5 linked regions of the Coturnix japonica genome follow. Each later gene encodes a partner of the first gene's protein in a complex. Links are inferred from orthologs where the notes say so. Each region holds a gene or a part of one and is shown on either strand. Other genes may lie near its edges.

What was found.
Region 2: EIF3J (region 1) and EIF3L share a complex: the UniProt entries of both Homo sapiens proteins name them as parts of the eukaryotic translation initiation factor 3 (eIF-3) complex. The link is inferred for Coturnix japonica from reciprocal best matches to the Homo sapiens genes EIF3J and EIF3L.
Region 3: EIF3J (region 1) and EIF3I share a complex: the UniProt entries of both Homo sapiens proteins name them as parts of the eukaryotic translation initiation factor 3 (eIF-3) complex. The link is inferred for Coturnix japonica from reciprocal best matches to the Homo sapiens genes EIF3J and EIF3I.
Region 4: the proteins of EIF3J (region 1) and EIF3B are in contact, whole or in part, in an NMR structure (PDB 2KRB), measured with the Homo sapiens proteins. The link is inferred for Coturnix japonica from reciprocal best matches to the Homo sapiens genes EIF3J and EIF3B. Residues at the interface, in NP_003749.2 of Homo sapiens: Asp45, Glu46, Asp50, Asn51, Trp52, Asp53, Asp54, Asp55; in NP_001032360.1 of Homo sapiens: Lys202, Asn205, Val206, Ile207, Lys209, Ile210, Lys213, Asn249, Ala250, Asp251, Gly252, Tyr253, Lys254, Leu255, Phe261.
Region 5: EIF3J (region 1) and EIF3D share a complex: the UniProt entries of both Homo sapiens proteins name them as parts of the eukaryotic translation initiation factor 3 (eIF-3) complex. The link is inferred for Coturnix japonica from reciprocal best matches to the Homo sapiens genes EIF3J and EIF3D.

What each region holds. Positions count from the first base shown.
Region 1 is NC_029525.1:17,935,934-17,939,979, forward strand, and holds the start of EIF3J (eukaryotic translation initiation factor 3 subunit J), read right to left. Parts: upstream 2,872-4,046; 5' UTR 2,857-2,871; coding exon 2,703-2,856; intron 2,595-2,702; coding exon 2,494-2,594; intron 1-2,493. UniProt on the Homo sapiens protein: Component of the eukaryotic translation initiation factor 3 (eIF-3) complex, which is required for several steps in the initiation of protein synthesis.
Region 2 is NC_029516.1:46,630,677-46,634,709, reverse strand, and holds the start of EIF3L (eukaryotic translation initiation factor 3 subunit L), read left to right. Parts: upstream 1-1,168; 5' UTR 1,169-1,260; coding exon 1,261-1,293; intron 1,294-1,386; coding exon 1,387-1,435; intron 1,436-1,512; coding exon 1,513-1,723; intron 1,724-2,369; coding exon 2,370-2,449; intron 2,450-2,722; coding exon 2,723-2,784; intron 2,785-4,033. Other genes in the region: ANKRD54 (ankyrin repeat domain-containing protein 54), read right to left, coding at 1-33, 695-742, 825-1,032. UniProt on the Homo sapiens protein: Component of the eukaryotic translation initiation factor 3 (eIF-3) complex, which is required for several steps in the initiation of protein synthesis.
Region 3 is NC_029538.1:4,527,808-4,531,831, forward strand, and holds the start of EIF3I (eukaryotic translation initiation factor 3 subunit I), read right to left. Parts: upstream 2,848-4,024; 5' UTR 2,820-2,847; coding exon of another isoform or gene 2,807-2,819; 5' UTR 2,733-2,806; coding exon 2,730-2,732; exon of another isoform or gene 2,726-2,729; intron 2,567-2,725; coding exon 2,474-2,566; intron 2,348-2,473; coding exon 2,260-2,347; intron 2,008-2,259; coding exon 1,942-2,007; intron 1,633-1,941; coding exon 1,483-1,632; intron 1,379-1,482; coding exon 1,251-1,378; intron 973-1,250; coding exon 862-972; intron 585-861; coding exon 495-584; intron 240-494; coding exon 166-239; intron 8-165; coding exon 1-7. Other genes in the region: TMEM234 (transmembrane protein 234), read left to right, coding at 2,807-2,819, 2,958-3,109, 3,394-3,460, 3,747-3,839. UniProt on the Homo sapiens protein: Component of the eukaryotic translation initiation factor 3 (eIF-3) complex, which is required for several steps in the initiation of protein synthesis.
Region 4 is NC_029529.1:3,185,209-3,189,223, reverse strand, and holds the start of EIF3B (eukaryotic translation initiation factor 3 subunit B), read right to left. Parts: upstream 2,835-4,015; 5' UTR 2,536-2,834; coding exon 2,100-2,535; intron 1-2,099.
Region 5 is NC_029516.1:47,223,405-47,227,730, forward strand, and holds the start of EIF3D (eukaryotic translation initiation factor 3 subunit D), read left to right. Parts: upstream 1-1,489; 5' UTR 1,490-1,607; intron 1,608-1,832; 5' UTR 1,833-1,843; coding exon 1,844-1,966; intron 1,967-3,049; coding exon 3,050-3,095; intron 3,096-3,485; coding exon 3,486-3,622; intron 3,623-3,724; coding exon 3,725-3,810; intron 3,811-4,269; coding exon 4,270-4,326. UniProt on the Homo sapiens protein: mRNA cap-binding component of the eukaryotic translation initiation factor 3 (eIF-3) complex, a complex required for several steps in the initiation of protein synthesis of a specialized repertoire of mRNAs.

The sequences.
Region 1 (4,046 bases):
TAAGGGCTCTGACCTGGGAGCTGAGCACAGTGCCGTCAGCTGTGCAGCCCCCTCCCAACAATTAGCTGGGTATCATTAATGGACACGTGTTCTTCCCCTGGTGCCCCTCCAGGTCCCACTGATGCCCTCTGTGTACAGATCAGCGCTTTGTCACAGCCCTGAAGGTACATGTGGCACCACAAGTTAAAGCCAAGAAATGGCCCAGGAATCTACTTTGAGTTACCAGCACGAGTGGAACCTGTAAGCTTAAGAGCTCACCTTTGGCAGGGCCTGGTCTGCACAGAAGCCACGCAGGCCATGCACACGTTATGGGTGAGCTTTACAACCACAATCCCCAGCTGGGCCTCAGAGCAGAAACGTGAGCACTCAGAGCAGCCATTTACCCGGAGGAGGAACGCGGCGTCACAGCGCATCCCCACAGCTCCCCTGGGCCAACCCGCACCTGTGGCAGAGCCGGCTTCCATCCACATTCCAGGAGGCTGACTTGAATCTGCAGCAGCGCTCATTCAGCTCGTATCTAATTAAACCTGTTACACCCATTTCTTAAACAGCCATTCTCAGCACTGCTGTGCTCGGTGCCCAGCCTGCACGGAGGGGTTTAGATCGAGCACACAGAGCAGGAGGGCAGCGAGTACCAACGGGGCTGCAGGAAGCGACCGCCTCCTCCAACAACTGCTGCCTTCAGATGGGAACAACCCGCCCCAAAGCTGCTCCAAGCACCTGTCAGCACTGCAGGAGTGAGTGAGCAGGGGTGAGTGTGCAAGGGGTGAGTGTGCAAGGGGTGAGTGTGCAGCAGCTGCTCCCACCGCTGCAGCTGGAGCAGGAGCTGAGCCCCATCTCTCCTCCTCCAGCACTGACACTGAGCCAGGGCACAGCCTCCAACCAAGAGCTGCCCAGGGATAAATAGAGCGAACCCTGTTGGCACCAGGCCTGTCTGCTGGGCAAGCTGTGCCCGGTAACAGCTGAGAGCAGCTGCGTTACCAATGAAGATGATGATCTGAAACCCGGGGAAGTCAATGTTTCCTGAACTCTGGGGTTACTTTAAGATCAAAACAACTGCAAAACAAACTACAGGATCCGAGTATGTAGGAAACAAAGCAAGAACATGAACACGCAAAACACCGCGCTCACATCTTTCCCTTATATCCATACTCCAAGGCTGACCCTGGCAAACAAGGAGCTCCAGTATCCACCTCCCAGGCTCAGCCCTGAGATCTCCAGCATTTAAACAACGAGCAAATGGAAATGAAACACTCCTATCTGCCATCCAGCCCTCAGCTCCAGGTGCAGCTCTGGTACTAATAGTGTGACCCCGAGAAAGGGGGAGGAAGCCAAACTGCTGCACACGGGGAGCTGCTCCTTTATGACAGCAGAGCTGTCCCTATGAGCACCACCCCACAGAGCAGTTCTCCTGGACACGCTGGATACCAGGAAGGTTCCTCACTTCCAAAGGAAGGCAGAAAAGCAAACTTCACCAGCGCTCTGTATGTGTTCTATATAAACACACACAGGTACGCACACACTGCAGCCAGTGTCACATACGTGCATCCAGTGACGCTGTAACCACGCTGCTCACAGAGATACCCCCACTCACCTTGTGTGCTGTAATGCCACAGCAGTGATAACCACAGGGTGTGGTGTCACTGTGCTTCAGAAGCAGAACAGACAGCTCCTAACTCACACAAGTATCTCTTTATAAAGGGAACGCTCTCACACTGCCCACAGAAGGAATTCCACCCTAAGCTCCAATGGTGCTGGTGGTTCCAATATCCTCCAAACAGCGGCACAGCCCGACCCAGCCGAGCACTGAGCCCTCACCCAGCACCGTGCAGGGCTTCACCCAGCGACCACAACGTGGCGACCAGGCGACACCCCGAGCTGCACCGCTGCGTGTCACAGCCCCGACAGCAGCTGGACCGGCCACAAAACGCTGCTGTGAGCTTCGGCTCCTTCCATCCCGATCCCACCCACACGTGCTGCCCGGCTGCTGTGCACACAGAGCTCCGTGCTGGGAGCACAGCGGGGCCAGGCGGCAGGAGACTCGCTGTAATGCAGCCCCTCGTTGTAATGCAGCCCCTCGCTGTAGTGCATTCACTCGCTGTAGTTCAGTCACTCGCTGTAGCTCAGTCACTCGCTGTATCGCAGCCCGGCTCCATCCTCCCGCCTCCACGTGCTGCAGCGCCTCAAACCCCCCATCCCAGCGCTGCTCCGTCAGCCCGTGGCCGCCATCCCGCCCTGCAGCCCCGCTCGGTTCTGGCAGCACCGTGACACCCCCCGCAGCTCCGGCTCCTCCCCGCCCGGCTCCCCGTACCCGCTCCCGGCCCGACTCCGCTCCCCGTGGCCCAGCGGTACCGGACCGCGCCAGGAGCCGCGTTCGGGCCGTGTCGGCTCCCGGGCCCCACAGCGAACAACACCCGACGGCCAACAGCGCATCACGGCCCGGATCCGATCGGAGCGGCCCGACCCGGCGCTGAGTGTCCCGGCCCGACGCACCTTCACGTCGTCGTCCTCGTCCTCTCCGGCCCAGCGATCTCCGGCCACCCCCGGCACCAACCGCTTCGCCACCGGCTCCACCACCTCGAAGGTGTCGGCGTCTGTGTGGGGGGAAGCAGAAAGGACAGCGGGTGAGCGGAGCGAGGACCGGACGGACCGAACGGATGGAACGGATGGAACGGATGGACCGGGTCCAGGCCGACACCTACCCCAGGAATCCGCCTCGGCCGCCATCTTGCCGCGGGAGCGCGGCGCGAGCTGACTCAGCCGCAGCTCAGCGCACGGCGCGCGGGGCACCATGGGAGCACGGCCCGCCCCTGCGGCCGCCATCTTGGGAGGGATGAGGTGGGGCCGAGCCGCCATCTTGGGAGGGGTGAGGTGACGGCACCGCCGCCATCTTGGGAGGGCTGACAGGCCGCTCCCCCCGGCGGGGCGGGGCCGGGCCGGGCGCCGTGCGGTACAACGGGCCGTGCCGGGGCTGGACGGGCCGTGCCGGGGCTGGACGGGCCGTGCCGGGGCTGTCCCGGCCCGCTGTGCTCGGGTGGGCGGTTCGGTGCTGGGTAGGACGGGGATCACCTCAGGAACACGGGGCAGAAACGCAGCTGAGGCGGCTGGAAGTGCCGGCGTTGGGCCGGGCAGCCCCTGGGCTGCACAGTGGAGCTGGCAGGGCTCAGAGCTACAGACCATCACAGCGTCAACCGGAGTATAAATATTTAATAGAAATCTGTAGGATTCGATATCCTGAAACCACAGCAGAAAAAAACCACAGCTCTGTAGGACGTTGGTTCTCTCCCATTTGTATTTTACAAGGTTCAGCCTATCGGTACAATGACATCTTTGCAAGTATAAAAAAAATAAAGCAAAACAGTATTACATTACACAGTCAAGACAACCCAAATAGTGATGTGCGTAACAGAACCTGTACAAGGCAATCCTTGCCGAGCCTTCCTTGCTTCCAAACAAAGAAGTTGCTTTTTTTTTTTATTAATTTATATAGATCTTTTTGTACAAAATAATGACAACTAGCTAAGAAAACAACGCACCTATGCTACTTCTCATCAGCCATTTAGCAACTTGTGAACCATTCTCTTTAAGCACCCACAACCCAAGGTGCGGATCTGCAGCGACGCGGTGGCTCAGCCCTTAGAGCACAGCCTGACTCTCATCGTTCGATTCCACCTGTCTCAGGTGCTGATAATGATACAGAAGCTCCATGGAGTTGGCTGAGCCACGTGCCTGCTTTGCTGCGCAGACCCAAGTCCTTTCCCCATCAAAATAACCCACACTTGACTTGAAACTCTACTTACAGCGGAAGACGTTATTTTCATGTCATAGCAATCAGTTTCTCGTTGCACTTATTGGAACAAACCTAACAGCCGCGCTGATATCGCACCAGGAGCTGCCTGGTCTTTTCTTTCAATGACAACATGTTGTGAGCGTTTACTTTTTGGCCTCGACTTCCTGAAACCCATTCCATCTGGCCAGACGTACCGGATTCATTGCAACTGTGCAAACATTCATTTGACACTGGAACTTTAGCTTTGTAAAGGTGT
Region 2 (4,033 bases), on another chromosome or scaffold:
AGGGGTCAGTTCCATCCTCCAGCAGTTGCTGCACTGGCAGTGCCAAGAAAGAAAAGGATGCAGGTAAGTTGAAGGGACACCTGATCAGAAAGGGGTGATGCTACCAGCTCTTCTGCAGGTAAGTATGGACCCTGCACAAGGTCAGAGCTCACAGATGAATGCATCCATCAGTTCATGAAACAAGGTGTACTGTAAAGCTGGAGGGTACAACATCACCCCATCCTGTAATGCCAGGGGTTGTTACAAATCCCGTCTATTTCCGATTGTTCACAACATGGTCTGATAACAGACAAAGGAGGAACCACGACAGGGGGCAAATGACATATGCCAGTATTGCTGATGAATGCTTAGGATCAAAACCCAGCTGATCTACAGTACATGGAAGTCAAGAGAGTCACAGAGCTGATGAGTGGGCAAAAGTTACGTACCAAAAAGCTGGAATAACAGCTGATTGCTAATCTAGCCTGAGGCAGCTGGACCCAATACAGTGAAAAAATCAATATAACAATCAGTCTCACTCTGCTCAGAGAACGGAACAAAAGGCTCAAGAGAAGCAACTTCTAGATCTTCAGCAACTAAAGGAAGATTCCTGCAAACTACCTGCACCTTCCTTCTCCTCGTCCTCTGCTGAAACAAAGAGCTTTGAACAAACTGCCTTTCCAGGAAGTGGCTTCACGTCAGGTTGAAGTCTCACCTGTGTCCAGGTCGTTGCCATTGGCAGCCTCACGCAGCCTCTTCAGGGCTGGGGAGGAAAGAAAGCCATTAGTGTGAAGCACGGAGGAGGAAGGGGGCAGGGGAGGAAGGGGGAACCCGCTCCCGCTCACCGTGGCTCTCCTTGCCCGTAGGCCCCAGGCGACGGTGGATGCGGGCGGCCCTGCGCAGGCGGCGGGCCGGGATCTTGCCGGCAGGTTCCTCTCGCTGCCACAGGACGTGCAGGTAGCCGAGGGAGGCTTCCCCCGCCGCCCCTCCCAGCGCCATCCCGGCTCCCAGAGCGGACTCCGACTCCGTCCCCGCAGCAGACTCGGCCTCCATTCCCTCACGGGCCGGGCCGGGCGGTACGGGGTGTGAGGGGAGGGGCGGGAAGGGTCGTCGCTGACATAGTGCAGACGGGCAGGCGGACTCTGCAATCAGAGAGAAAAGCCTCTGAAGACAAGCAGTTATTTTAACCAATAGAGAGACTAAACAAATTCGGCCGGCCTTCCGGAGCGTGCCGCTTGGTCCCACCTCCTCTTCCTGCCTGCCCAGGCCCCGCGCCGCGCCATGGCCTACCCGGGGGAGGACTACGACAACGATGTGCGAGCGGGGGGCGGGCTGCGGGGATGGGGGGGGGTTTGTGGGTCCGGTTCGTGCTCGTCGCGGTAACATCCCCGCATCGTGTCTTCACAGGCCGCCTACGACCCGTACGCCTACTCCAACGACTATGATATGCACACGGGTGAGTGCGCGGTGCGGGCCGCCCCGCGGGGTGGGGGCTGTAGGCCTCGGGCTTACAACCCGCCTCTTTCCCTTCAGGAGACCCGAAGCAGGATCTGGCCTACGAGCGGCAGTACGAGCAGCAGACGTACCAGGTGATCCCCGAGGTCATCAAGAACTTCATCCAGTACTTCCACAAGACCGTGTCCGACCTCATCGACCAGAAGGTGTACGAGCTGCAGGCCAGCCGAGTCTCCAGCGATGTCATTGACCAGAAGGTGTATGAGATCCAGGACATCTATGAGAACAGGTGCGGGGCTGTCCTTGCATTCTCACTGCTTAAAACCTCCCATACTTAAAGGCCCCGGGCCCCCGGTATGAGAAAGATGTAGAGCTGTTGGAGTGGGTCCAGGGGAAGGCCACCTCTGGAGTACCTCTTCTGTGAAGAAAGGATGGGAGCTGGGCTTGTTCAGCCTGGAGACCTCATTGCAGCCTTCCAGTACTTGAAGGGAGCTTACCCACAGGAGGGAACTCGGCTTTTTTACATGGGCAGATAGTGATAGGACAAGGGCAACAGTTGAAAACTAAAATTAGATGTGATAGTTTTTCACTGTGAGGCTGTTGAGGCATTGGAGCAGCCCAGAGAGGTTCTGGATGCCCAGTCCTTAGAAGTGTTCAAGGCCGGGTTGGATAGGACCCAGGGCAACTCAGTCTGGTAGCTGATTTAGTTGTCGGTAATACTGATGCAAACTAGATGATCTTTAAGGTTCTTTCCAACCCAAGCCATTCTATGGTCAGTTTTTTAACTGCTTTGTTTGCCATTCTAATTCCTTAGTAACACCAGTTTTGAAGGGAGACAGTGTCCTATCAAGTCCAAGCCCTTTGTACTGTGGTTTCTAACTGCAGCTCTGTGATGCTCAGGGATGTTTTCTCATACCCCACGTCTTATCTTTCAGCTGGACAAAGCTAACAGAAAGGTTTTTCAAGAACACCCCATGGCCAGAGGCAGAGGCCATTGCCCCACAGGTTGGAAATGGTAAGCATTTCTTTTCCACTCTGTTTTCCTTACAGGAGAATGAAGGAACTAAATTACTTTTGATGTGTTAGGGAGCTGGCATGTGGTTTTTATGAATCACTCATCTTTGCTATGGCAGCTCCTTCTGTAGATGCCTATCAGAAAGTCAGATGAATGAGCATCCTCTTTTACTTGTCCTTGTAACTGTGGCAGTAGGAACATCACCGGTGCCTCAGAGATCCAGTTGCCTAAGCTTCATGGTTTGCTGATATCCAGTTCTCTCATCTCTTCCAGATGCAGTTTTCCTCATCCTGTACAAGGAGCTGTATTATAGGCATATCTACGCCAAAGTCAGCGTGAGTATTTGCTCTGTGTCTTTTAGTTGCGCTTGGTTCTTCTGCCATCAAAGTGAACAAGTTGCACTGCTGTTAAAGCATCAGTGGTTCCAAAGTTTTGCAAAACAATATTGAATAGATTTAGGAGGTATGGGTCGAGTTAGAAATAGCTGAATTTTCTCTCTGTTAGAGCTGTATAACTGCATGACTTACAGGTCAGTTTTGTGTGTTTCTTCATGACTCTTTATTTCTTCTTCAGGCTAGCAGGTGTATGAGGGGGTGTCACAAGAGGAGTTTGAGTTACTTGTAATTGAAAGACCATACGGGGTCAGAGTGTTTTGTGGATAGGAAGAAACTGGCACCACAGAGGATACAGGAGAAGAAGACAGAAGGAATAATGGTCTATTAAAAAAACAACAACAACAAACCATGCTTCTTTCCCTTAAAAAGGCTAATTTGAAGTCAGTAGGAAAATCAGAGTAGTTCTTGGCTGTAAGAAAGAAGCAGGACAGGTGTGTGACTTACATGGTGAATGAGTAATAATTGCAGTTTTGGTTTGGACCACAGGGTGGAGAAATGGGTTAATGCAGGAGTCTTTTTGAAGTTCCTAAATCAAAGACTTGCCTGAACAGGTGAAACTGGTTGCTTGAGTTATTTTGTAGGAGGTTCCCAAGCTGCCCATGGGGTGTCTACAGGTGACACAAGATAATTCTAGGAAGAGTGATTCCCTCCTGTGTTTATCGGTCTTCTAGAGCATTTAAAACTTATTCTTTATGCAGAGGGCGGTGAGGCACTGGCACTGCTGCCCAGAGAGCTGTGGGTGCCCCATCCCTGGAGGTTCAAGGCTAGGTTGGATGGGGGCTGAACTGGTGGCCCTGTCCACAGCAGGGTCCCTTCCAAGCTATTCTATGATTCTTTGGTATGATTGTCTAGAAGCAGCTGTGTTGTTGGGATTTACAAAGACCTTCCTTGAGGGGAAGAGGACAAAAAGCTGTGTAGGTTAATAGGCAGTTCTTAGGTCTGGACAGCACAGAGGAGGAAAAGGAGACTTAAAGTATTCTATTCACATGAGACTTCATCACTTAGTTGTACTAGAAGCTACCTGGACTTGAAAAGGCAGCCTTCTTCTACTGGACAACAGTGAGACAATTTAATTTGTTCTGGGTGATGTTAGTGATTGGTGGGTGGTTGAATATCAGCTCTAATGTCACCAAAACAGATCTATTGCCTTGACTGTTGGCTGTCCTTTGTAGGCTATTGCCCATAAAGG
Region 3 (4,024 bases), on another chromosome or scaffold:
GAAGAATCTGGGAGAAGAAAGAGGCAGGTTAGGGATGTCATCAGGGTTTCCTCAGAGAAGCTCTGCAATTCTAGTAACTCTCCAAATGCTGCCAATAGCAAGACGCTCTGGGAGCAGGAGAGAACTCCAAGTGCAGACTCAGCCCTGCCAGAGAAGAGCACCAACCTTGCCTCAAATTTGCCAATCCTGGTGGAGGTCGTGGTCACATCCATGGCCTCCTGCCCACCACCGAGCACAACCTGCATAGGAAGAAAGTCACAACACTGCAGTGCTGCTTACACCATATGTGGAACAACAGCCAGGGTAGGAGGGAGCCCAGCCTTGGGGAAGCCTCCCACTAACCCAGCACAGCCCATGACAGCAGTCAAGTCCCCTGGCCCTGTCCCACAGTGATTCTTTAGCTCAGGCTGAACTGGTGACACTGTGCCTTCCAGCTGCCTGAGACAATGCAGGAGCTGCACTAAGACCGTTAGTATGCGTGGGCTCATGCTTACGTGATCAAAAATGGGGGAGAGTGCAGCAGAGTTCACCGGTCGCTCTGTCCGGAATGTCTTCAGATGTTCCAGCGTTGTGCAGTCAAATAGCTAAAATGCAAAAGGAAGAGAGTGGCAGTCCAAGTATCTCATGCAAACCCCAGCTGCCAGTCCTCACATGAGCAGGTGTTACTTCTAAAGTCACTCCTGGGCATCCAAATGTCAAAGCTATTGCTCCAGAATCCCAAATATCAGCCCTCCCACTAAGCTTTGGCTCTACACCTGCTCAAATTCCCAAAGAGAAAACCACTGAGGCAGCCATGACTTTGAGCAGGGGTCCTGCAAGCGGATGTCAGCAATGCACCGCAGTCCCCCCAGGAGGCCTCACCTTGGCAGTGTTATCCTTGGAGGCAGTGATGAACATGGTCATGTCCCTGGAGGTCTGAATATCATTGATTTGCTTGGTGTGCTCCTTGATGTTTGAAAGCTGCTCCCCTGACTGAAGGGTAAACGAGGCAGTTTAAGTGAACTGGCAAGGAAAGTGTACAAACAACTTCTCTGCTAAAACCGACTTTAGATGTTGCTGTCAGCAGAAAGGTAGGCATATATATGTTCAGCTTTGCTGAAGAAAGCCACATACTTTAACTATCCTTCCTCAAGGCCACTGGTTTGAGCCAAAAAAACCCACATTCTGCCACATGATCACAACAGGAACGTTGCAACATCCTCTCCCAAGAGTTGCTGCCTGAGGGTGATGCTCCTCCTTATCACACTGACCTTGGCACTGAACTGGTTCAGCTCCCCACTCTCGTGTCCTGCGATGATGAATTCTCCCAAAGGGCCCCACACAGCACTAGTGATTTTAGAGTCGCTGCAGGGGATTTTCATGTAAGGCTCGTTGTTCTCTGCAGGAAGGAAGGATGGAGACACACAGACTGAGTGGCACCAGCTCTTGGCAGCCAACGCTTCCCCTTATTCCCAGTTGCAGGCACAGGCCCGGATTCCTCACCGATTTGGCTGGGGTCACGCAGGTCAAAGAAGCTCACAAAACACTGATAACCCATCTGCTTGTCCGTGGAAAACATGATGATGTTTCCTCCAAAGTCAAAGCCACACGTCCTCACTGCCGAGCTGGTCTTCACCAGAGCGAGCTGCTTTCCTGAACACGGAGCAGAAACCATCACTTCACTTGGTCTTGCATTGCAAACATTAATGAAAGCAATCAAACAGAAGTGCAGTCATAGAAAGAACAGGAGCATCAGAGCTGACAGACAGGTTGGGTGACTGGAAAGCACTAAATGTGCTTGGTGAGCAAAATGAATAAGTGCCCATTGAAAATAAGGCAAATACACAAACAGCCAAGAAAGGACTTGGGCTCTTTCAGGGGCAAACAGGCACATGTTGCACAGATCCCAGAACAGGACAGAGCTGAGTCAGATCCAGCCACGTGGGAGAGAAGAGCCTTTACCTGTTTCACAGTCCCAGAGCCGACAGCTGTTATCTGCAGAGCCAGTGAGCACATGTCGGGTGTCCCCTTGGTCAGCAGTTAAGGGATATCAGCACGTTTGCAGCCCCAAAAATCATTAGATACCCAGGGAGTATTTACACACAAGATTAAGAAGCTGCGTTACATTGAGAAATTACAGGACTTGGGAAACTTCCCAAGGAGCACAAATAACCAAGAGATGGCACAAGGGACAATTAAACACAGCAGCTGAATGGAGCCATCCGTGCTGAATCACTGCAAGGAACGAGAGCACAAACTGGTTGTGCACCCAAAGGATACAGTCAGCATCCACACACCACACGGCTCCTGTGTGCCCATTGTAGGTGCCCAGCCGTTCTCCATTCACCGAGTACCAAACGTTGACGATCTAAAAGAAGATAAAAAGGCTTGAAGAGCCGCTCTGACCAATTACCTGAGCTCGTTAATTACCCACCTTTATCCCTCCCCCCCCATCGCACACAGCCCGGTTTCCCGGTGCCCCCGGTTCACTCACGGGATCCTTGGCCACAGTGAACAGCAGGTCTCCCTCTCGGTTGTACTTGATCTGTGTGATGGATCGCTCGTGGCCCTGCAGCAGGATCGGCTTCTGCACGCGGCAATGAGGGAAGGCGCCATTTAACGCTATGCCAAGCGAGGCCGAGGCCCCGGCTGGGGCTCAGGCTGCCACCACCATCAGCCCAGGAGCCCCGCCGACCCCAGGACCCAGCCGGGACCCGCATCAGCCCGGCCCGGCCCACAACCCGACTCACCATGGCGGACACGGCGCTGCCGGAACCGGAGCGAGAGAGAAGAGGCGTGGAGTATCACGTCCGGGTCACGGGGCGCTATGGCGGCCGCCGGTGAGCTTCCGGGTTTGGGGGACGGGCCTCGGGTGGATCCCGGAGGGGCTGAGGGGACGGGGTGGGCTGTGTGAGGGGGCTGCGGGCTGATGGCGGCCGGGCCAACAGCCCCGGGGCTGAGCTGATGTTGTGCTGCAGGGCAGGCCGCCGTGCTGGTGCTGGTGTCGGTTCTATGGGGCAGCACCGGGCCGTTCCTACGGACGGGAGCGGCGGGGCTGTTGGACGTGCAGCGCCGGGGGCTCCTACGGCAGCTGCTGGCCGAGATCAGGTTCCTGGGCTGCAACTACAAGGTGAGCACAGCCGGAATCATGGGGTGTATGGGACGGGCCTTCATGCTCCTTCCTGCACTCAGCACCTCCCATCTATCAGCAAAATGATTTGTACTCTATAACATTTCATCTACCCACCTGCAGTCCTGCTCTTCTTATGGAGAACTTAGACACTTGTAGAAATTAACCCTCATATTTCACATTCAGACCTGCCTGCCTTCTGCAGACATGGCATCCAAGGCTTGCACTGCTTGCTGCAGGCATTGCAATGCTTTTCCATGCAGTGACCTGTCTTCTTTCCGCAGTACATGGTGCCATTCCTGCTGAACCAATGTGGATCGCTCCTCTTCTACCTCACCTTGGCATCTGCAGGTCAGCTCTCACTGCTTTGTCCAGTGGGTTGATCAGGGTTTGGGGAGGAGCTGTATTACTGATTCATTTGGTGATCTGGCTGAACATCAAGTATCATCATCATAGTATCACAGTCTGGTGTGGGTTGGAAGGGACCTTAGAGATCATCGAGTCCAACCCCCGGGATTCGAGCCTCCTGTGTAGCAGAGCGGCACTTCTACCACTTGTGCCACAGGGGGATTCAAGTAGATGTCTTTGAATGAAGGACGCATCCATTTCAAACCGTGTTACAATTGTTCAATTTCAGAGCTGTCCCTGGCAGTGCCGCTCTGTAACTCCCTGGCTCTGATAGTCACGCTGGTGACTGGAAGGATTTTGGGAGAGGATATTGGTGGTAAAAGTAAGTTACGCTTAAAACATTTGGCACGTTGTATTCTGCATCTATTTGTTGTTTTAATGTTGTGTGCTCCCTTCTGGTAACTGCTTAGGCAGTAGTTTGTGCAAGGAAGCTGAAAAGGAAGTGAAACTGACTTGTAAGGGGGTAGAGCTAGTGAATTTAAATTGGCTGGAACTGGCTGTTTTAAG
Region 4 (4,015 bases), on another chromosome or scaffold:
CAGTTGTGGTTTTCCTATCACACCAAGATTACAGCAGTTGAAAGGCACACAGTACAGCCCTATGTCACACACAAAATTAGGAGCAACAAAAACAGCAGCAGGCTTCTAGACACAGTTTACCTGTGGAATTTTCTGCATACCTTACTCTAAGCTGTATCTCAAGACAATTCCATTTAATTATTTTGTATCCACAAACTTAACCCCGCGGGTAACATAGAATTTAAACACATTTGGGTTGCTTTCCCCTCAACTTCTTTCTACAAAGATGAAAGTTCACCCAGTATGAGCCAAAGACTCAGAAGAAAGGAAATAAGAAGCTGCAAATAAGTTAACTTCTAAGCACATACAACACCTTAGAGTATATTAGGATATCTTGCCATTACCCAGCTAGCTAACAACACACATACACTGAAGCCATTGACAGGTAACCTCTGGCCTGAGAGCTAACAGATGGGCAGGGAAGCATCTACAAAAACTCTAAGGACTGAAAAAAGGAATTTCAAAACCTGATATTATAGAAAAATAATATTTTTTAATTATAGAATCTTTATATCTTTAGTTCTTCTTGCATGTAATATGGAAACATGTCCTCTAAGGAACCAGGTTATTTCCACAAAATCTTATGGGAAAAAGAGAACGATAATCCTGAAGCTCTGAGAGTCTCTTTTTCATAGCCAGTTCCCACAAAAGGCTATAAAAGAAAGGAATGCTTATTTAGCTTAACATGGAAGTAGAGGACATTCTATCCTAAATCAGAACTCTAACAGGTTAAACACATACCTACACTGTGTATCTCCTCTACCTTAAATGCAAAACTACCAACAAAGAAACCTTCAAAGGGCAGCGGCTGGTTCAGCCAGCTCTATTCCCACAGGCCAGAAAAGAGGGGTGTGGTGGGTGCACGGCTATCTTCAGCTGGCAGAATTTTAAGGACCTCTCTCATTATCTGAACTAAAGCTTCATGGCACCTGGGCGATGATCTGACACATTCCTTCTATGGAAGGTGGAACAGCTGTTCTGCTGTGCCAACACCATTCTGGGAAAAAAAAACCAACATAAGTCAAACTAACACCTGAGATGATCCAATCTTAAAGCCAGACTGGTTCAGAATTGTTCCTGAACACGTAACTCTTATCATAAATGTGGGAATATGGAAATAACCTTGAATCAGTGATGCTGATGGCCTGGAATTGATTGTCCTGTGGAGTTATCAGGGTAAAGGAAAAGGAATAAGGCAGCTCAAGAAGTAGAACAGGCAGATAGAAAACCAGACCAGCAGGAGTGACTAAAGTTAAACGCTGTAATTCAGCCACTAACATTGTATTATTCATACAGATGAAGAGTCAACCAAATTAATCCTAAAGAACAGAACAGAAAAAAAGACAGGAAATGTTCTGGGTTCTATCTAAACACTGACATGAATGTGATAATCCCCGATGTAGAGAAAGCATCCAAAGCAAACACTTCACTAGACAAGAATCCAGTGATAAACCTGCAGACACTTTTGGTAGTGTCTCTAAGATACACGTGCTCAAAGTGCCATATACACTACTAAGAATAACACACTTTCTTAATTCAAAATACTTCTCCACTTATTTATTAAGCTAAACATAGGAATGGAACACAAGAAAGCACAATTACCACTTGTATTCCGCCACCAATTCAAACCACCTGCTGACTCAGGAAGCAGTACATGCTTTAAGAGGCATTTTTCCAGCTCTGATACGTGTAACCATTACAGAACCTACAGCAGCATTTACGTCAGAGTAAGAACTGGCACAACAGACAAATGGATTTGCTGTTCAAGAATTGACACGGTTTATCTTGAAAGAGTTGTCCGAAACAGTAGAAATACTGAAGCACCAAAGACAGCTGCTGCCATAACGCCTTATGGGGCCAAACGACGGCTGGGTCATTGTATGACACTCAGTATCCAGCTTTTCCTCACAGACCCCGAGCTGCTCCACACCCGCAGCTCATCGCCCCGTTTCAGGAGGGCAGCGCTGACGGCACCAACCGCACGGACACGCCGAGGCCTCCCCACGTTCCCGCAGCGCCCCGGCCCAGCCCAGCCCGCCCCGAGCCGGCCCCGCACAAACCTTCGTCGCTGATGTCGTCCACGAATCCCTCGGGATCGCTGAACGAAAGCTCGTCCTCGGGCTCGGCGGGCGCGGCCTCCCCGTCCTCGCAGGGCTCGGTTGGCGGCTCGGCCTCGGCCTGGGACTCGCTCTTGGCCTCCTCCGACGGCGGCTCGGCCTCGGGCCCGGCCTGCGAGGGGCTCTCCCGGCCGGACGCCGACTGAGGGGAGGGCGGCTGAAGCGGCTGGGGCTCGGCGGGGGGCTCCGAGGCGGCGGGTGGCGGCTCAGGGGGCCCCTCAGAGCCGCCCTGTTCCTCCGGCCCTTCTTTCTCCCCTTCCTCCTCCTCCTTCAGTTGCTGCTGAGGCGGCGGCTCTGTCGGCGCTCCGTCGGCCCGCTCGGGTTCCTCGGCCGGGTCCTGTGCGCCGGGCGGCGCGGGGCTGTCCTCGGTGCCCTGCATGGGGTCGGTACGAGGCCCCACCGGCCGCGCGTTCCCAGCTCGAGAGCGACGGGAAAAGGAGCGGGGGAGGGGTGGGGAGGCTCCTACCGCCGGGCCATGTGCGCCAGGCCCCGCGAGCCGCCGCTACCAACGGGAGGGGGGGGCCGGGTTAGAGCAGCGCTGCCCGATGGAGCTTCCACCCGCCGCTTCTTTCTCCCTGCTCTTCCCCAGAGCGATCGCCGCCTCCTTCACCGCTCACCCCTCCTGCTCGGCCAGCAGCGCCGTCCGTCCTTTCCGAGCCCTCGCGGCTGCGGCTCCCCCTGCTGCACTGCTTTATGGTTCAGCCCAACATGGCGGCTCCTGCCCGTCCGCTGAGGTGGGGTTGGACCGAACCATTTCTCGGGAGGCCAAAAGCGGATCGTGTCTCTGTGCTCAACCGGGCGGGCGGCGACCGAACCCTCCGTGCGGTGCCGGCACTTCAGGCCATCAAACGTCCTGCACCGGGCAGGAGGAAACAGCGAATCTTGTCGCCTTCCCCCCCGCGGATCTACCGCTGTGGGCCCGTCCAAAGGCGGCGGGGCGATGGCGGGCGCTACCACAGCTCGTGATGGAGGGGCGGTGATGCTGGGCCCGGCCCGGCCCTGCCAACACATCGCCGGCTCAGTGAGCTGAGCTCTGTGTCCATTAAACCATTAAACCAAGGACACTTTGATCCCGATGCAAAGATACGTCCGAGTGTGTGCGGTGATACATCCACAAACAGAGAACACAGGGCTTTTCTTTGATGCCGTCAGGTTTAAGCGATGGCTTTGGAGGGAAAAAGCAGTTATTGAGGATTTAATCAGAAGCCGCTCGGAAAAGCTCGTTTTGTGATTTATCGGGCAGCCACAAGGTGCCACCCGAGCTCCATCCGAGCGCTGTGAGCGTCGGATCCCTCTTGAAGCCGCGTTTATGAATGGAAATGATGACTGGCCCCGCTGTGTGACAGCACTGGGCCGGGCTGTGACTTGCTGGGTTTCAGCAGCAAGTAGGAAGTAAAGGAAGAGCTGCTGCCTGTCCTGCTTACTAGCACGTTTTTTATCCAGATAGGAGGACATGCTGTGCTGCAACCCACAGCACCAGCTGCATCCTCACCATTATACGGCTTGTCCTTTTGTGACTCGGCTTTTGCAGCTCCTCACAGTTGCCTGCATTGCTGGGATAGACAGATTTCTATATGACCTTTCTTTCTGTTTACAAGCTATCAGCAAATTTGAATGCTGGGTCTTTCTTCCCTGTCATCTGTTTGAACTTTCTCTTACTTTACAGCACATTTTAATCCTTCCTTCCTTCCTTCCTTCCTTCCTTCCTTCCTTCCTTCCTTCCTTCCTTCCTTCCTTCCTTCCTTTCTTCTTCTTCTTCCTTTCTCCATCTTCCCCTCCATTCCCCTCTTCCTACCTTCCCCTCCCGTCCCTTTCCTCCTCCCTCCTCCTCCGTCCTCCTCTCCCCTCTCTCCTCCTCC
Region 5 (4,326 bases), on another chromosome or scaffold:
AATTAACTGATTAACTGAAATTATGGATCACAGATCAAGTGATTGCAAGCGAGTGTATTTTGAGCAAAGTCAGCACTTTTCTGGGACACTGTGTGTCTCACGTGCTGATAATGATAGCCGACAGCTGGATGGCAAATCATCTGCAGAAACAGTGCTGGAGCTGACACCAGCACAGCCCTGAGTGCAGCCCAGGACAGGAGGTGAGCTGGGCAGGGTCTGGTGCCAAGTAAGCGTGAGCCAAAGCCACCCTGTCCCCTCTTCCAGTAAATCCCACTTAAATGGGGGAACAAATCTCACCTTCCTCAAGGCTGGATTTTTCTTGCAGCTGAAGTTTCTCCTCTTGATAAGAAACCGGTAGGTTATGATGTGCCTAAAAGAGCATTTGTTCTCTGATGGCCATTCCCTGTGCTTGCTTTCCCCTCTGAGACACACTAATACCCAGCTCCATTCCCAGACGAGGCAGCCTGAGGGGCTGGGCCCGAAGTGCCAGCACTCTTCAGCAGGCAGCAGCAGCGCTACACTTGCCTTTCAGCACCTCACACAGGACTGTAAGGGAACAGGCAAGCAGGGGGAATGCAGAGTCTAGGTTTATCAGTCTAGTTGTTTTCTCTTTCTTCATTCCGTTTGCTCTTTGGGACTTCCTTTTACGTTTCCTAAGCATGACTTGAACGTGGCTATGCTCAGGTTGAGTCTGTGATATCCAGGGCTGTTCCAGCACTGACGTTTGTCACCACAAAGGCTGTTTGCCTGTGAGAGTTACAAATGGTATTTTATAAACCGTGTTTCTGTAAGTGGATTTCTCTTTTTGCTAGCGGGGAAAACTGCTTTAATAATCCGACTTCTGATTAATGGCGCAGCCTCCTGGCAAAGCAGACTGCTTCGGTTATTTCTCGAGGAGGGTTTAAACGCAGTAAATAAAGGAGGAAATGCACGGTGCTCTGCCTGCAAAATATTGATCTAGACTCAGATGGTGCAAGATACCCAGGGACGTTCTGCAAACAGGTTGTGGTGAGGTGGGGGTCGGCCTCTGCTCACAGGTAACAGTTATAGGGTGAGAGGGAATGGCCTCAGGGGAGGGTCAGGTTGGATATGAGGAAAGATTGAGATATGAGGAAGGTGCTGCAGTGGCACAGGCTGCCCAGGCAGGTGGTGCAGTCACCGTCCCTGGAGGTGTTCAGAGCCGTGTGGATGTGGCACTGAGGGACGTGGTCATGGGGATGGTGGGGATGGGCTGATGGTTGGACCGGGTGATCCTAGAGGTCTTTTCCAGCCTTAATGATCCTATGTAAGGCACGCGACGAACCCACCCTGCCCCCTCCCTACCCCCCGGGTAAGTAAAAGCCGTGGTGACGTCACACCCCACCACGTACAGCCCGATGCCGGCGGTGACGTCACGGGGCGCATTGCGCCTAACGGGAGATCCGCGCTTTACGGCAGTCGCGCTCCGCCCCCTCGCTCTCTCTCTTTTACGACGGTGGTGCGCGGCGGCGCCGTCGCGCAGTGCTGACGCAATAAGGGCGGGACGGGGCTGCGCGCGGCCTTTCCTCGCCGGCCGTCGCCGCCGCTGTCGTATCCGTCGCCATCGGGGCCGTAACGCGGCCGCTCAGGTGAGGGGACGCCGCGGCCGCCCCGTCACGCTCCGCCGTCCTACCGGGACCGGCCCGCGGGCAGCGCGACCCCCGGCCCCGCCCAGGCGTTACCGCCGGTTCCGGTGGGGCCGGGCCGGCGCCCCCGCCTTCCTGCGCCCGCTCCGGGCTCCCTCGGTGCCCCTTCCCCTCACGGTGGCGCCGACGGGGCGGGTGCTGAAGGAACGTTCCGCTTGTTCCCCGCAGGGCTGTGAGCCATGGCGAAGTTCGTGACCCCCGTGATCCAGGACAACCCCTCGGGTTGGGGCCCGTGCGCCGTGCCCGAGCAGTTCAAGGATATGCCCTACCAGCCCTTCAGCAAGGGGGACCGCCTGGGCAAGGTACTGCGCTGTGTGGCTGCTGGGTGCACCCCTGTGCCTCTGCTGAGCTACCAGAGTGGGGAGCTGGGTTAGACGTTGGGAGGGGTCTCTTTTTTTGCTCGGCAGAGAAAGACCTGGGGGTCTTGGTGTGCGAAAGACTCAACATGAGCCAGCAGTGCGCTCTGGCAGCCCGGAAAGCAAATGGATCCTGGGCTCCATCAGGAGAGGTGGTCAGCAGGATAGGGAGATCGTCCTCTCTACTCTGCTTTGTGAGCCCATCTGGATACTGTGTCCAGGTGTGGAGCCCTCAGTACAAAAAACATGGAATTTTGGAAAGGGTCCAGAGGAGGCCACGAAGATGATCAGGGGCTGGAGCACTCCCCTATGAGGAACAGCTGAGGGAGTTGGTGTTCGCCTAGAGAAGAGAAGGTTGCGGGTGACCTCATTGCAGCCTTTCAGTACTGAAGGAACTACTCCCAGGAGGGAGTAAACTCTTCAAAAGGCTGATAATAGCAGGACTAGGGGAAATGGTTTTAAGTTGAAGGAGGGAAGATTAGGTTGGATTTTAGGGGAATCTTCACTAGGAAAGTGGTTAGGCCCTGGACACGGCTGCCCAGGGAGTTGTGAATGCCCGTCCTTGAGGTGTTCAGACCAGGTTGGACGGGCCCGCAACCTGATCTAGTAAGGTGTATGTTTGGCGCCTGCCAGGCAGGTTGGAACTACATGATCCTTGAGGTCCCTTCCAACCCGGGTCATTCTGTGATTCTTTGTTTAGAGGACGCTGAGGCGCTGGCACAGACTGCCCAGAGAGCTGTGGTGCCCATACACCTGCAGCTTAAAGCCGGTGAATGAGCTGGTGGGGGGCAGGATTTAGATATTCTTTAAGATTCCTTCCAACCTGAGCCATTCTGAGATATGACATTATATGGTTCTCCAGCACCTTGACAGTTGTGAGCATTCTGTGAGGCTTGCTTATGGAGGTGGGAGTTGAGGTGCATACAGCAGTCCCTTATTTTGCCTTTTGAGGCCCTACTGGGGGGGGGGACGACACACACATCATATTAACACTTGCTTTTTTTTTTTACTGTATATTTTTGTCCTTAGGTGGCAGATTGGACAGGAGCCACGTATCAGGATAAGAGATACACAAGTACGTGTTGTCCAATGGCTGTTCCTGCTATTTATTTTGTGCAAAGCTTACTTCAAACGTCATCCCTGCTTTCGTGTTTCCCACTGGCTCTACCGGCTACATACACACCTCAGCAGAGGAGGCTCTTTAATTTCAGAAGCGTGTCTCACCGCTTGGAGAGCTGCGTGGGGCTCTCCCTGCCCTTAGGGTTCCCTTGTGGGTTTGTTCCATGTGCTGACTGGTGCTTCTCTGGGAGGTTCAGAGCAGGGAGGCAATGTGACAGTCTAATGCAGGAGTCCTAGTTGATGCATTAGACTTGAGTAAAGGCTACTGAGGAAAACTGGGGGGGCGGGTGGAGTGTCATATTTTTGCTTCCAAGCTTCATAGCAAAATGATTTATTTTATTTCCAGACAAGTACTCATCACAGTTTGGTGGTGGAAGTCAATATGCGTATTTCCATGAGGAGGATGAGACCAGCTTCCAGTTGGTGGATACAGCCCGGACACAGAAAACTGCATACCAGAGGAATCGCATGCGATTTGCACAGGTAAAGCTTTACTTTCAGAAACAGGCTCAAAAAAAGAGATTGAGCAATACAGAATTACTTTGCCACTAATCTGTCCTTTTATTCTTTGCTGCATTCCCACAGAGGAACCTTCGGAGAGACAAGGACCGCCGGAACATGCTGCAGTTCAGCATGCAGACGCTGCCAAAGAGTGCCAAGCAGAAAGAGAGGTGCGGGCTTCACATACAAGCATTCTGTACTTGGAGTGTGTGAACATACTGTTAACGAGTAATTTAAGTTACTGTAACAGAACCCACCAAAGTTCCTAGCAAAGCATTTCAGGGTATTTTAATGTTTGCTGATGCGCCCAGTAGTTACAAGCATGGATTTCAGGCAGCTATTTAAGAATCTAGGAGATGTTTTGAGTCAAGTTTAGGAGGTAAGTGTGACAACTTAAAGCAGGATGTGCTCTTCCTGGAAACTGTGTTGTGGTCATTAAGGATAAAAACATATAAAGGGTGTTCAGAGTGCAGAACAAAGCTCTTAACACTTCAGTTGTTTGGATAGCCAAATTCTCAGCCTGCAAACGTTGTTCCTCTGGTGATTATTTGGAAGTGTGGGAGTCGTGGCAGGGAGCTTCTTGTGTTGAGAACTTGTTGTAATGGCTTTTCACCTATTTGTCATTGTAGGGATCGTTTGCGCCTCCAAAAGAAGTTTCAGAAGCAGTTTGGAGTGAGGCAGAAATG